2 linked regions of the Caenorhabditis elegans genome follow. The protein of the gene in region 2 interacts with the protein of the main gene of each other region in a biochemical or structural test. Each region holds a gene or a part of one and is shown on either strand. Other genes may lie near its edges. The genes, in order: cdc-42 and rhi-1.

Region 1 (4,454 bases), on a different chromosome or scaffold from region 2:
ATTTCGGACTGAAATTAATTTAAAAGAATAGCGGAAAGCATTTAAAGCAGACGAAAAATGTTTGAACATGTTCGAATTTCTAGTTTTCTGCGAATACCTAACGAGACCCAACAGTTTGTCCGTAAAGCGCGATTGCAAACGCGCTTTCAAAATGAGCATTTTTCTGCGCTTCCATAATAAAAATTAGAATAAAATTGAGCAACCCATATTAATTGTTTTATTTTCAGTCTGATTGTCTACTTGCTGGTCTTCGTTTCACAACAAAACATTATAATGATTCAAGTACTCCAAAATCTCTTCGTCATTTGATTGAAGTGAAATAATTTCATTTTTTGTCAATTTGTTCATTAATTCTAGTCATCCTTGCCTCTATTTTATGTTCTCTTATCGTTTCTAGTTGAAGCCCATTTCCTCATACACGGTGATTATGTTCCTCTCCTCGTCAAACAGTACTTTTTGTCAGTGATAATAATTATTTTTCGTTCCAATTCACCCACTCATTAATTATTTTTCTCAATGCCTTATGGTTCCGGTTCTTCTTTTTCTACAACACCCACTTGTATACTTTTCAAGATCTTTTATAAACATCTTAATTTTTTATATCACACCTTTATTGTTTTGGATCGCAAATATATAACAACAATATGTAGAAAAATTAAAATACAGAGTTGTTCTGGAGAAAGGAGGAGGGAGACACAAAACGTAGTGGATGAGAAAACAGTTTAAAATGGGAAATGGATGTGTGAAGGCAGAAAAGCACAAAAAAAAGGAAAGAAGAAAAACAAACTGGTCGGTATTTTTGAGCAGCAAATGAAGAAACAAGCGACTCGGGATGTAGTTGGTTGTGCTATACAACACCTATTATATAATTATAAAAAGAACCATGGGAAAGGAGAAGGCGCATTACGTAACGGTGTATCCGGACTATAAACACGTTTTGGGATAAAAAAGAAAATAAAAACGACGACGAAAATGTTAAAGAGGAGGTGTCATTGAAAAGAATGATAGTTAATTTGGATGAACTTTTAAAAATTTTCGAGGGGATTATTCGATAAAAATTCGAAAACAGATGAGAAACTATAAACTGCCCTGCTTATCGAAATTCTATACGAAACAATTAAAAAATTCTGGAATCATGCTCATCGAGATTCTACTGGATAAGTTACAGGAGACGAATTGAAGAAAATCATCTTCTATGATGCTGTCAAAAATAACAGCAACCGCTTCTCGTTTGGCATTTTTCAGGGAAATTTAGAAGTATGAGAAGAGTGGAAGTCGGGGGCTAAGAAAATTTGGACATAGAAAGAAAAACACAGTCACAAAACAGAGGAAAACATGGAGACAAGGAAGACGTTCCTAGAGAATATTGCACTTCTTCTTCTTCTCCTGTTGTGGTGGGTCGAGAGCGGCCAGAATGGCTTCGTCGAATACATTTTTCAGTCCCTTCTGAAAATAAACTATTTAAACTTCAATATACAAGCGTTTTTAATCAACATAATATGAAAACTATGGTATTTTCAGCCGGAATATAGAGCATTTCAGGAGATAATTTTTTGCACAATAAAAACAGAATTCTGGTTGTTCGTTTTTCCCGAAAACATGACCGTTGCTAAATATAAAGCAACAATTTAACTGAAAAGTGATATTTATATTTTAAAGTGTCACGTATTTCCACAAGAGCCTCGTTTTAATATTTAAAAATTTATTATTTGATTAGGTTTCGTGGATTGGATGATATTTTATTTTAATGTTTCAATATTATCAATGACTATTTTGGAAAGAATGACTCACCTGCGTCAACGCTGAGCATTCAACGTATTTCACTGCTTTCAATTCCTTTGCCAACTTCTCTCCAACATCCGTTGACACTGGTTTCTGCTTGTTTTTTGCCAGTTTCTCGAGCATTCCTGGATCATCCCTGAGATCGACTTGAGTACCAACTAACAAGAATGGGGTCTTTGAGCAATGATGCGAAATTTCAGGCACCCACTAAAACAATTTCAGATATATAGAATAAATTCGAGAACAATATTTCTTACTTTTTCTCGGACATTCTCGAATGAAGCTGGAGCAACCACGGAGAAGCAAACAAGAAACACGTCGGTCTGTGGATACGATAGAGGCCTTAATCGATCGTAATCTTCCTGTCCAGCAGTATCAAACAATCCTAATGTGTATGGCTCGCCACCGATCATTACTGTGACCTGAAATTCGGAAATTATTTTTATATAAAATAATTTTTTTTTCTTAAACTTACGGCGTAATTGTCGAAGACTGTCGGCACATACTCAGAAGGAAACTTGTTTGTGGTATAGCTGATCAGGAGACAAGTTTTACCGACAGCTCCATCTCCAACGACGACGCACTTGATCGTCTGCATTTCGCCTGAAAAAAAAAATGAATAAAAGTATTAAAATTACGTCTTTATAGTGAAAAATACGGATGAGTCACATAAATGTGCACGCACACGTTTTAAAAGGAGAGATAACTAGAGAATGAAAACGAATTGCGAAACATCAGGCAGAAAATCAATAGTCTCTTTCGAAATGCCACGAGCGTTTCTTTACCATTGGGAGCAATAATTATCGAAGAAAGAGCAAGAAAAAAAAACGGTAAACGCCTTAATAAACGATGAAGAAATAAGGCAAAATGGCCAAAACAACTTGTGCGTATAATTCTTTAGATGAGGAATTTTGGCAATGATTCATCGGTAACTGGTCGGAAGTTTGAATCGGTTTTCCGTACCAAACAACTTGCATATATTTGAAACTAGTTATATTTAAGAAAAGGTACAAAAATAGGAATAATTCGACATGAAACACTGGAACATCTCAGTCAGGATTATGTTAGGGGAATTTGGAAGCAATGTTCAATAAAATGTCACGAAAATGATTTCAATAATTGTTAAACAGTCAGACAAACTTAAGCGGACCATTTTTTAAATAATTTAAAACATGATTGCTCCTTTCGAGAAAATTTATCAAATTAAAAACTGATAGGATACTTCGATCGTCTACCTACGTTTATTGATTAATTCTGCTCTTATAAATGAATAATCAATAATTAGAAAAAACAATAAAAGCCTGTAAAACAACGAAAAGCGTGAATGAGCTTTGTTGAACACGGCGAAAAAAGGAAAAAAAGAAGATGGTGGACAGTTTGTCGGCGAGCCTAAAGACGACCGCGACGCGGCCGCTCGCACTCATAGACTACGCTAGTGGTGAGATACGCAGAGAAAAAGACGAGAGAGTATTGAGAGAATGGAGACATCACTACATCTAACATAGGGTCGCCAGTCGTCACCGAATTATTGGATTCAAATTTAGGTCCCGTAACTCGTGAAAACTTATTAGATCGGTCAGTTATCTAGATAGAGTACTTGATTAGACAAATGATATCCCAGACTGGTCAGTTTCAGTCTAGAAATGACGCTGTAAACTTCGTAAAACCACCAAATAGGATTTCTAAAGTCATCATCTAGAATTTAAACTATATCTCACTTTGTTACGCTGTGAGGATATTATACATACATATTTTGTATGTAAGCTTAGTCTATAACTAGCGTAACCCGTTCCATGCTAACAGACGGGCGGCCATTTTAGTTTTTTATTTTTCCTGTGCGAACGATTGCCAGCCAGAAACTTCTTTCTTTTTTCTTGTTTCTCCTAGTGCAGAATATTTGTCCTCAATTTATAAATACCATCTCTAGAATATTAACTTCGATTGAATCCGTTGTGTTTTCCATTTTTTCTCAATTGTATTTCGTAAAATTAATTTTAAAATTGCCTTCTTTTTAATTTTAAGGTTTTATATTTCAATATGCTATTTCGTATTTTTTGTCTTACATTTCTAGATAGAATTCTAACAATGCTCCGATTGAATCTCACTCGCGAAATTTCTATTTCTCTTCTTTCACTTCAATCCAATCGACGATTCAATCTGCCCTAAATTTTTAGAATTGCATATTTTCTCTTGATAACTTCATTGTAAACCGTGTGAATTCCATGAAATTACATGTTCGTAATACTTTTCCCAATTAAAAGAAGAAAAATTTGGAGTTTCGATAACCGACGGCGCGTACTTCTCTTCTTCCTTATTGTTCGATCAATAGTCCCCCAATCCGGTTCCCTGCCGCGTCTCCTCCCTTTTCCGCGCGAGATGTGCCTGCTTTTCGTTCATGAATTTCGTTTACAACGTCATCAGCTCTTTTTCTGTATTCATTCTGAACACATTCCCGCCTTCACTCGAATTTACCGCCACCGCACACCTGTTCATCCCGCTTCTCTCACTCCCAAACACTGTTTGTTTTGTCGCTCGTGCGCCTGCACGCAACAGAAGGAGGAGGTTTCAAACGCATTCCTTCGCAAGTTTATATGATATAGATTAGGTGAGAGAAAATTATTTGATTTGTGAAAAATCTTTATTCAATACGTATATTCTGCTTTAAAATTCTT
Region 2 (4,938 bases):
TTTCCAATTTCATTAAGTATTTCCTAATGGAGCAAGAAAGCATGAATTTCTTCAGACTACACCCACACGTAGTGGTGTGATTCGATAAATTCTTTTTAATTTACGGCAGTAAGTTTTTGCAAAGATTTTTGTAATGGTGATCATCATTTAATGTCTTGAAAATCAATTTTCAAACATTTTGCACGAATTCAATTTACTAATCTTAAAGTAACTTTAAAAGTTAGAACTACATAGTAATTTTGAAAGTTAGAACTACAGAGTAATTTTAGGTAACACACGAGTACCAAAAATACTTAGGTATTCAGTAAAAAGATCTGAAAATTTGCTACAAAGTTTCTGGTAAATTTTTTTTTAAGTTTGGATTTTTGTGAGAAAAGTCTATTCAAATTTTTTTGACTTTTTATTACGAAATTAATTTATTTTAACACATTTTGGGTTTATACGTTCAAAACTTCCAAACCGTTAGTACTCTTTTAAATTTTCAAAGTTGTAACGTTTTGTAGTTCAATTCTTATTGTATCAAAATAAAATCTCTAATTCTGAAATTAATACAATGTTCCGGCCCAGCTGAAACCACGTGAATATTGCGGAACAACGTGTAAATGCGTATTAGGATCTTAAGTTTTTGGAAACGCAGCAAGTTAGTGTTTTTTGGTTAGTTTCCAACGTTTCACAAAACAGTACACTTTGTTTTAAATGATTATGAAATATCACTTTATATATCATTTCAATTTGGCGGGGAAAGGGGAGAGGCATCACACAACACAACTAGTGCATCAAAATCAATAATAACCATAAAACAAGGAAAACATTTGGGGTGGGCGGTAAATTGGAGAAAAAAGTCATTTTCATTGAGAATTTGAATATAAATATGAGGTTCAGTAAAGGCGGAAAATTATTCTACTCCTTGGTAATGTGAAGGGTCCATTGCCAGTCAAGATACACATTGTTGTCATCGTCGGTAATTTTCGAGTACACCTTGTACTTTCCACGATGCATCATTCCAGACGGAGCTTCTTCGTTTGGTGATTTGTACTCCTGAATCTCAAGTTTTGGCGCGTAGCTTCCCATCATGTACTTCTCATTCTCCACAGTGATACCGGATCGTTTCACCTTATGTTTGTAGCTGAAACAATTTATTATTTTAAGTTAAGATTAAACACACAAAAAAACTAACTGCAATCCGGACGTAATTTCGCGTTGCACATGGAAAGCAAAGCTTAACCGGTAATTGGAACCTTCTTTGATGGAAACAGACAAGTCAGAGTTGACAAGTTTTGCTGGATCCGATAAGTCAAATGATTGCGCAGTTTTACCATTAATGAGCAGCTCGACGGATCGGACAATCACGCGGAGTGGGTTCTTCTCGTCGACAATGACTGTTCCTTGGCCGAGAAGTTTGGCTTTGTACACTTTTAGAGACTCGTCCTCCTGTAAAAATTTCATACTAAAATGTGATTGTCATTGGATTTTTATAAAAGTTTATTAGGGTTAATAGAGACCAAAATTGTGGCACATTAGGAAAATTCACAAAATGCCCTTTTTCTCATTGTTATGTTGAAGTTTTTCGCTCGGAAATTTGTATAGAAATGTAACAAATAGGGGTGGCTATAGGTCGACCTAGGTCGACCTGCGACCTAGAGGGTTAGGTCGCATCGCGACCTAGGTCGCATTGCGACCTGCGACCTAGCGACCTAGGTCGCATTGCGACCTGAATTACCGACATTTTGTTCTCTTTCGGTTTTGATTCACTTGAGTTGTTAAAATCCGTATAACTCGAAAACTAAAGATTGCAGAATATGTGTATTCCACTAACATTTTCTCTATTAAGATTTTATAAGTTTATGCGTAGTTTTTTTTCAAAAGTACGGAACAAAGAATTCATTTCTACAAATAAAACCATGCATTTCAGCAAATTGTTTCAAAAAGTTCACGTTTTTGTGGTTTTTGTTGTTTCTAAAATTTCATTTTCCACTTTTCGAATTAAAAACGTAGAAAAAAGCAGAAAATCCGGCGGATGTCGGCTGTTCTAACTTTTTTCGACAAGGTGTCTTATGGATAAGAAATCGAAAACAATGTAAAATAAATGATTTGTAGCAATTTGTTAGTATAAAAAATGTCAGTACTTCAGGTCGCAAAGCGACCTAGGTCGCTAGGTCGCAGGTCGCGATGCGACCCAGGTCGCGATGCGACCCAGGTCGCTAGGTCGCAGGTCGTAAAGCGACCTAGGTCGCTAGGTCGCAGGTCGCAATGCGACCTAGGTCGCTAGGTCGCAAGTCGCAATGCGACCCAGGTCGCTAGGTCGCAGGTCGCAATGCGACCTAGGTCGCGATGCGACCTAAATGAAAACAGCGACCTAGCGACCTAGGTCGCACTCTTGCCACCCCTAGTAACGAATATATGCATTTTCCAAAAATAACTCTCCTTTGTATGAAAAGTTTTGGGAAAGTGTTCAAAAACTATCTCAAGGAGGAATATACAGATTATGAGACAGTTTTTGAGAAACTTATCAAAGCTATCGTTGTTTTTGGAAAATACACATATTTCTATATACATTCTCAAAAGAAAACTTTGACACAACAATCAGAAAGAGGTGATATTAGTGTTGTGCCGATAACATTTTAACGGCAGTTCTTTCTACTAATAACAAGTTTCAGGTAGTTTTCAACATCTTGTTAAGTTTTTCTACAAAAGTAAATTTCATTTTCAAAGAAATAAAATATTTTCTATATTTCAGCATTTACTTAAAAATATTAGATTGTCATACCAAAACGAGTTTGCCGGGGTGAATTGCCGCCCGTTGCACTACCTTTTGATTCTATTTTACAATTATCAAACCTAAAACTCGCAGAACACTGTAGCCTGAATGCAAGGATTTTGTGTTTTGAACGTAGCTTGGCTCGGCTTTCTTTGTTTCAATTAACTACTTTTTATTAATAGATCGAAGGCCAAAGCTGTCTTGTGATCAGATTCATCAATCCACATCCATTAGCAATTTCGCAAAATGTTCAATTTTTTTTGTTAAAAATAAATTTAACAAACCTTGTCAGCATTGAGAAGCTCGTCGATGCTCTTTTGTGGTGGTTGCTTGTACTGATATTCGGAGGTGTTTTCACCAGTGTTCTCGTGGTCAGACATAATTCCGCTGAAAAATGGGGGGTAAGCGCTGTCAGAAAAAAGAAGAAGGGAAAGAACCAGAATATTCGAAAACCCAAGAATCGAAGAATTGCAATTATGAACGACTTAAAGAAATGCGAATAAAAATGCGGCCAAAAATGAGTGCCTACGACAAAAACGATTCTGAGGGCAAAGACTCGAACGGTCGAAACCAAAATCTTGCGACAAAAAGAGAAAACGTCCAAAAAAAATAATGGGGCAAATGGGCAACTGGAAAAATACCGGAAAAGAAATTTCATAATCAAACCGAACAACCTCGTTCGAGACAAGAAGAATTAGACAAACACACGGAGAGGAGGGCGAAATGGTTGAACAATGTCAATTTGTTATCTATCCCACCGTCTTTTTCTACTCCTGTGTGGTTTTTCGTCTCCGCCTACTTTTTCTCTTCTTCTTCAAGACAAATTGTTGGTAAAACAGATTTGTGAAGCTTTCTTCTGATGCGATTTCTTTTTTTTTTTTTGCTGGCGTCGCCTATATCATTTGTTTCCATGTACAAGATGGAAAAATCCAATTTCTGGATATATGGGAAAAATACTAAAATGATGCTAAAATCACTAAAAAATTAAAATAAAACTATTCAAAATAATTTGGAAATTTTTTTTATTTCGAATCAAAAACCAGTGAAAACTCAGTTCTCACCAATTTTTTGAATGTCGTTTCTGATTTGAACAGTTCTATTTTTCAGAAAGTGGCAAAAACTTATGCCACTTTTTGACTGACCTTTTTGACCCTTTAAGCATATGCGTATTGTCGAAAATTGACGAAAGAAAACAAAAAAACAAGTTGCCTTAAATCAGTCATTGTAGAAACATATGACATACTGGAGGAGCCAAAAATTCAAGTGATGAGAAGTAGAACAAATGCAACGTCAAGCAAAATAGTCTTCCCTTATCAATTGATTCGTTACTCTGGGAATTTAACAAATGACTCATCATGTTGCTTGCCCAAGAACAAGAAAGGAAGTCGTGCTGCTGAGTAATCGAAAACATTAGAAATTAAACAGAATGATAAATTTCAAACTTTAAATGAACAATTGATAGATTGAAGAGCGAGTTAAAGAAATAACGCATATCATGTCAAGTATTAGGAATCTTCTCGCCCACTAAGAGAGAGAGTCACAAACAACAGACAAATAAATACAGTTCGAGTATGGGTGGATAGTGAAATGAGAGAGAAAAAAGTAGAGTGAGTGACACAAATGAAACACACTCACACTCACACACACACATAAACTTGTGTGTGTGTGTGTGTGCGTGGAAAAATGTTTGTGGAAAACCGAATCGTCGAGGGAGTGGCGCAAGGAAATCGCTGATGGTGGGCGATGATGGTGGTGGAGGAGGACGAGAAGGTAAAAATGTCAAAATCGGGCATTCTAGGGCACCGCTGTGCACTGATTGCGAGGAGCAAGTGAAGCAAAAGCAGTGCGAGAAAATACAGTTCTCGTTTGTTTAAAGTATTTGAACGCGGTTAGTTTTTGGCTGGGAAAGAGAGAGAGAGAGAGAGAAAATCAAAAAGCCTAAGAATTGGACTAATTCAAAAACGTAAAATTGGAAGTGTTGTGAATTTTAACACAGATATAGTGTGGCACAAAATAATTATATTTTCGAAAATTAAAACTTTAAAACAATTCAGTTCCACACCTAAACAAGTTATTTCCACACCTCGGAAATAAAATTGAGGTGGTTACTAATGGGAAACAAATATTTGAAGATCTCTAATGTTATTAGGAACATATATTTGCCAGTAACTTTTCAATTA

What was found.
Region 1: of the proteins of rhi-1 (region 2) and cdc-42, one has a biochemical effect on the other in vitro, tested with the Caenorhabditis elegans proteins (one study listed by BioGRID).

Annotation. Positions count from the first base shown.
Region 1 is NC_003280.10:7,614,383-7,618,836, reverse strand, and holds cdc-42 (Cell division control protein 42 homolog), read right to left. Parts: upstream 2,386-4,454; 5' UTR 2,381-2,385; coding exon 2,258-2,380; intron 2,205-2,257; coding exon 2,040-2,204; intron 1,990-2,039; coding exon 1,792-1,989; intron 1,447-1,791; coding exon 1,357-1,446; 3' UTR 592-1,356; downstream 1-591. Other genes in the region: R07G3.8 (CYRIA/CYRIB Rac1 binding domain-containing protein), read left to right, coding at 228-323; Immunoglobulin domain-containing protein oig-4, read right to left, coding at 4,425-4,454.
Region 2 is NC_003284.9:4,506,716-4,511,653, reverse strand, and holds rhi-1 (putative rho GDP-dissociation inhibitor), read right to left. Parts: upstream 3,146-4,938; 5' UTR 3,139-3,145; coding exon 3,043-3,138; intron 1,432-3,042; coding exon 1,178-1,431; intron 1,127-1,177; coding exon 901-1,126; 3' UTR 709-900; downstream 1-708. UniProt on the Caenorhabditis elegans protein: Regulates the GDP/GTP exchange reaction of the Rho proteins by inhibiting the dissociation of GDP from them, and the subsequent binding of GTP to them.